Linked DNA regions of Macaca mulatta. The protein of the gene in region 2 purifies or fractionates together with the protein of the main gene of each other region. This does not show direct contact. Links are inferred from orthologs where the notes say so. Each region holds a gene or a part of one and is shown on either strand. Other genes may lie near its edges.

Region 1 (2,735 bases), on a different chromosome or scaffold from region 2:
GTTTGGAAAGCACTGAGATTTTTTTCTGTGGGATATTTAAGCAGAGATACATGTTCAGTATGCAGCTGCTTACATGGCTCAGAAAGGAAATCAAGGTTGGAGATAGACTTGTGTGTCTGTAAATATGTGCCATCAGCTTAACTGCTGAAGGTGATCTACAACATATATGCAGGATAAAGGACTTTGAAAAGGAAACCAAGACAAAAATATGACTTGCCCAAGATCATCCACATGGTGGAGAAAAGAATTAAGACAGACCCAGTTCTGTCTAATCCAATACCTTTGCCCTCTCCCATTGCTCAAATGAGAAATCTGCAAATTCACTGGAAACTGTAAAGTGTTATAAATGTATGAACATGTCTATTAAAGTGGCTTAAGAGTTCTAACGGAGTGATTATATTGCTTTTAATTGTCACAGTAGAAACTCACTTAGAAAAGAAAATGCTGGCCTTGGTCTTATTCAAAGACAGAATATGGGAGGAAGCCAAATGTTCAGCCCTAGGTCAAAAGTTTTATTCAGGTTTATGTGGCTTGTACACTTGCCAGTATTTACTTCAAAAGGTAACAATTCCAAGGTGATTTTTCTATTACAAGTAGTATCACTTAGTATACTTTTGAAACATGGTACAACTTCTCTGACATTTAAAATGAACAGATGTAACTGGCATTATAAAATTTTCTAATATATAAGGTCAACAAACTACACGGCAAGTATTCGGTGTAATACTTTATTTTCTACTGTATTAAACGAAAGCCAGGAAAATACCAAGTTATTTAAAGGCAAATCTTTACTCCTTAAAGAAAAAATACAAACTGTGGTATTTTTAAGATAGATCGTTATATTTTACATAATATAAACAAAATCACTAATGCATCTATATGCTTGGTTTCCTTAAACTACAATGAACCACAGAATGGGTGAAAATGCATTTACTTTTTGGTGGCAAATAAACATATTGGAAAAAACACGTAACACATAGCATGCCTTTTTTTCCTTACTGTCTACACACAGGAACTGACATAACCAAGATTTAATAGCCACCACCTCCTCTCCCCTGTCCAAAGTAGCCACCTCCATAGGCCCCCCTACCACCTCCTCGCTGGAATCCCCCAGATCCTCTGTAGCCTCCACTAGGCCCTCTGTAGTCTCCTCCAGAGTTGCCTCTAAAGCCACCTCGGGAAACTCCTCTATAGCCTCCACCAACACCTGCACCATATCCTGCCCGAAAGGAGTTGGGGCTGCCACCATAGCCTCCGCTACCATAGCCTCCGCCACCATAGCCTCCACTGGTATAGCCACCGCCATAGCCTCCACCGCTGTAACTAGAACCTCCCCTTCTATATCCGCTTCCATTGTCGTATCGGGCCATCTTGGGAGGACGTGGACCATCTCCATACCTAGGAAAAGCACAAAACCATCACTTCAGCAAAGCATTCTTATTATTTCCCAACCACTCACCAAATGCACACAGTTAGTTATATTTGAAAATTTAATACATAAAGGGAATGAAGCCAAACGCACAAATCGAAATTGAAACAAAATTGATCTGCTATTCTAAAACAGTCATCAATTATATCCATCTGTTTTTCTGAAGTTCTTTCTGGTTCAATCTCAAAGGTTTTGAATTTTGGCAGTATGTCATTACAACTTTAAGAAGTGCTCTTACTCAGGTCAACAACATAGTGTTCCAAGAAGGCAAGCATTAGGAGAGGGTTCCTGGAGCTGCCAATAAACTATTTGGTCTTTATCACTAAAAGTTTTCCTGCAATAATTCTGAAATACGATTTTGAAAAATGTATATCTAATTTTGAAAAATTCTATCTACTACTGTAATTTAGGCCACCACATATTCATACATCCTAAACTCTCTTACGTATATCCCTTTCTTTCTAGTTTCTGGACTACTATCCCTCATAGAAACAGATTATATATACAAAGGTTCCTTGCTTACCAGCCCTCCTACCAAAAATAATCTCTCTTCTCCTAAACACCCATGAATACTTAATTTGTTATCTGCCTATGATGCTTACTGAATTATCCTATACATTTAAGCACCTAGGAGGGCCACAGTAAAGCCTAGTAAGAACACTGTTTCAGGAGGCATGTTGCCTGGGTTTGAATCTGGTTCTATCAGTTATTAGTTGTATGACCTTGAGTCTTATCTGTGCCCGGTTTCCTTATTTATATTAAAGAGAATGAGGATAACCATCTACCCATTTTATAGACAGACCAAATGCAGTAAGTCATTTTTGATGAGGAATTAGAGGTCATTTTTGGATAACTGGAAGGATTTTAGTACAATAGCATATTATAGTATTACTAAAACACTTAAGGTTTTGGGGTGGTATTGTGACCATGTTCTTAAAAGATATGAAGTGTATTGATGTAAAATGTGGTAGTGCCTACTACTTCATCACAAATGATTAAGGAAATGTACAAAACGCTGAAAATTAGTGAATCTAAACAAAGACTATATGGCTAAACATTGTATCACTTTTCTGCCTTTTTGGCAAGTATCAAGTATTTGTAAATAAAAACTCATGGGCAAAGGAAAAAATTTTAAAACCTGAAGCAAATAAAAATTTTAAGAATTAAGATAAATTTCTCATTTCTTTGCTTTAAGATGTCCATGCTCTTAGTTGTTTAAGATAAACAAAAACACATACACATTGGATAAAGAAGCAATTTAACATCTCATCAATATTTTTTCTTTAGAGATGCCAAAACAGTACCA
Region 2 (3,715 bases):
GATATTTTGCTTTACAACTTGCACCTAAAATACCAGTATACGTAGCTGGTTCATTAGTTGTCATAGCAATTTAGGGCTATTGCCCAAGCTATGCATAGCAGTTTACATTTTCAAACCTCATATAGAAAGGGCAATTGTGATATGAACTGGCAACTACATTCCTGTGAAGCCCATCTCAGTTACAAGCAAACGTGTAACTTCCAAGTCTGCAAAGAATTCTGATGGCAAAACTTCTATATCTGATGCAATTGTCCTAAGCAAGTTTTTAAACAAATTGTTTCGCAGCTACTCTGCCATTCTGCCAGTAGGTGGTGCTACAAAGATCGGGAAAAGGATTTCCATGAGGACAACAGTTCAGATATAGAGGGGGAAAAAAACCGTTTAAACCTGCTCTGAAAGTACAAAAACGCATCTGAGGGTAAAATATAACCCTCATTTTTAACCATTCATTACAGATAAACCAGTAAGAGGGATGAAACTAGGCCATCTGAAAAATTTTAAACAGTTTATATGAATGACATGCTTAACACAAACTATATAGAACTACACAGTACACAGTTTGAAGTAAATTGTCATAGAAATGACCAACCATGTCAAGATGGTAAGCAAATCGCTTAGTACAAGAGATGGATGCACAGAAACTTAAGAGTTTAAAAAGCCACATCCACCACTTCAAAAGTTTTGCCTGTAGGGGATATAATTCAACACGCAACTAGCAGGGCAACGGGGGGCGGGGGGGGGGACCACAGGACCTCTTAAGTTTCTCTAAGTACACATCAAGAATAAAGAATTAACACGTAAAGTCTTAAACAAATATCCCTTAAAAACGGTACGGAATGGATCCTAGAAAAGAAATGTTAGACATGTACGGTCAAACACAATGATTTATTAAAAATAAAACGTAAAAATGATTTTTGTACATATGCTTCCAAATTTCAGGCATGGGATCCAAGTAGATTTCATAGAAAACGCTGTAGCCAGGTTATCAAGTCCTTACAACAAAGTAAACTACCCCCCACCCCAACCCCCGCCCAGGTTTTGCTACAGAATCAGCAAGTTCACTCCCTCCCTCCCCCCAAAAAACACAAATTAAAACAAGACATTTTGCTAGTATAAAAACGACCAAGGTCCAAGTAATAATAAAAAAATAGAGTCCATCAATGACTGTAACACAAAAATGTGTATGTGGGGCCGAGTCCATCTTCAGAGGGAGAGACAAGAGAGGTGGCAGGCAAATAGAGGAACACCCCCAAGGGTAAGCAGCCTTAGAAGTGGCTCCCCCAAGGGCAAAACAGGGAAGGCGGTGGTGTGGGTGTGAGGGGGTGGGGCTTAGGAGTTGACCCCACTTGGGTTTTTGAAAAGAGCTACCCCAATAGCCACTCCCAGGCATTTTAAATTTTCTTTTAGAAGGAGCTCCCTCCATAGCCACCCCCACCTCCATAGCCGCCTCTGTAAGGTCCACTATTACTGCGACCGCCCCAGCTGCTGCCTCCGCCGCCGCCGCCGCTCTTCATGGGCCCGTAAGAGGACTGATGCTGACTGTAGCTGCCGAAGCCGCCGAAGCCGTTACCGTAGTCGCTCCCACCGTAGGACGAACCGCCGCCGCCGCCTCCGTAAGCATTGTAGCCGCCGCCACCGCCGCCGCCGTAACCACCGTAGCTGTTGTAACCGCCGCCGCCGCCCTTGGAAAGGCCGTTCTGGTCTCGACCACCGCCGCGCCCCCGGCCGCCTCGGCCGCCCCGGGAGGATCGGGAGCCGCCTCCACCCCCACCGGAGTAGATATCCTCCTTGGGGACTGCCTTCTTCACCTCCACGCGATGGCCCTGAATCGGATGGAACTTGACCACCGCGGCCTTGTCTGCCGCGTCGTGATTCTGAAAATACACGAAGCCGAATCCACGCTTCTTGCCGGACTGCTTGTCGGCAATAATCTCGGCCTTTTCCACGGTGCCAAACTGCGAGAAGTGCTCGATCAGGTCGCCCTCAGCCACGTCTCCCTTAAGGCCGCCGACAAAGAGCTTCTTAACCTTGGCGTGGGCACCGGGCCGCGCCGAATCCTCCCGGGACACCGCCCGCTTCAGCTCCACAGTGTTGCCGTCCACGGCATGGGGCGAGGCGGCCATGGCGGCGTCGGCCTCCTCCACATTGGAGTAGGTCACGAAGCCAAAGCAACGGGAGCGCTTGGTCTGGGGATTCACCACCACCACGCAGTCCGTCAGAGTCCCAAAGGCCTCAAAGTGGCCGCGCAGGCCCGACTCACTCGTCTGCACATTGAGGCCGCCGATGAACAGCTTACACAACTGGGAATTCTCCATCTCCAAGGCTCGGGCCTTGCCCCCGCCCTGCGAGCTCCGAGGTTTCGCCGTCGCCGCCGTTATCGTTGGTTAAGGCCTCTACACAGCTTGGGCCCAGCCGCTGCTGGAGCCACCCCCGCCGGTCACCGACAGGGAAGGGAAAAAGGGAAGGGGAGGGAAGGAAGGAAGAAAGGAAGGGGGAGGGAAGGGGAGCGGTGCCGGCGAAAGGGCGAGCCGAGGAGACTGGAAGACAACCAAGGCCACCGCTACCGCCGCCGCCACCTCCGCTCCCCTATCTGGGCACCACACAAAGAGGCCGCTGAACGCGCGCGCACCCTCCCCGAGGCGTGCGTCACCGCCGACGTACGGCAGCCTAGGGCTGCCCTCCAATCCCCGCCTCGCTCCCCTTAATCCCGCCTACCGCGCCGCAGCGCCGCTCTAGATCACGGACTCCCCGCCCTCCGCGGTCTATTCAAGCCCGCGGCCTGTGCCGCTCCCGCCTCCCCTTCTGCCAACCCGCTTTCATTCCCGAGCGCCCTATTGTCCCTTGACATGGGTCCCTCCCTGCCCTCCGCGCACCGCCGCGATTCATTTCCTCCTAGCACTGCGGCTGTTCCCAGTGTTTCTCCCCCTCCCCTTTCCTCATCTCCGCGCCCAACTCCGCAGTGGCGTTCGCGCCAGCCCCTTGAGAGACATGTCAGTTCAGCCAATCACCGTGATCCCCTCGCACCCACTTCCGTTTTCGGCAGCTGTTGGACGGGCGCGCTCCCCGGTGCGCGCTTGCCCCGGCGCCCCCAGCGTGCAGAACCTGTCTGCCACCCCCTCGCCTTCTGCAGCCCAGGGCTTTGCAGGGGAGAGAGCAGGAGGCGCGCTGGGGGCCATTCCCAGCGGATGCGGCCTGGGGCGCCATGCGCGGGCTTTTTGAAAACTTGACGTTGGGGTTGGGGGCCCGGATCTACCCGCCGCCTTTCCGCTTGTCCGCTACACCTGGCGTCCCCGCCCCACCTCCCGCCCGCACAAAGATGGAGGGCAGAGGCCTGGTCCACGAAGGCGGTTATTAACCGTTTACGGTGGGCCGACATGCGGTTAAACTAAAACTCTGCCACGTGGCCCTGCGCAAAAGCGAGCCCGAGGCGGCGGTGTGAAAGACAACGGAACCAAAGAGCTTCAGACATTACGAACCAGACGAGGCGCGACATCCCTGCCACCATCCCGCCATCCTTGAAGCCCTCCCACGACGCCCTCTCAGAAGGAGGCCCTTTCAGGTCCCCTTGGCATACTCCAAAATTTTCATTTAACCTCAGTGAATGGGTTTTTATGTGTAATTTACATCATCCATGTGTTGCTTTCTTTCAACTAGAATGTTAGTTTTTTGTTTTTGTTTTTGTTTTTTTTTGAGATGAGTTTCACTTTTGTTGCCG

Evidence for each region.
Region 1: the proteins of HNRNPA0 (region 2) and DHX9 purify together in Homo sapiens (affinity purification with mass spectrometry; 3 studies listed by BioGRID and IntAct, with this or other methods). This does not show direct contact. The link is inferred for Macaca mulatta from reciprocal best matches to the Homo sapiens genes HNRNPA0 and DHX9.

What each region holds. Positions count from the first base shown.
Region 1 is NC_133406.1:40,348,877-40,351,611, reverse strand, and holds the end of DHX9 (ATP-dependent RNA helicase A), read right to left. Parts: intron 1,399-2,735; coding exon 1,032-1,398; 3' UTR 621-1,031; downstream 1-620. UniProt on the Homo sapiens protein: Multifunctional ATP-dependent nucleic acid helicase that unwinds DNA and RNA in a 3' to 5' direction and that plays important roles in many processes, such as DNA replication, transcriptional activation, post-transcriptional RNA regulation, mRNA translation and RNA-mediated gene silencing.
Region 2 is NC_133411.1:146,603,192-146,606,906, forward strand, and holds HNRNPA0 (heterogeneous nuclear ribonucleoprotein A0), read right to left. Parts: upstream 2,485-3,715; 5' UTR 2,316-2,484; coding exon 1,404-2,315; 3' UTR 733-1,403; downstream 1-732. UniProt on the Homo sapiens protein: mRNA-binding component of ribonucleosomes. Specifically binds AU-rich element (ARE)-containing mRNAs. Involved in post-transcriptional regulation of cytokines mRNAs.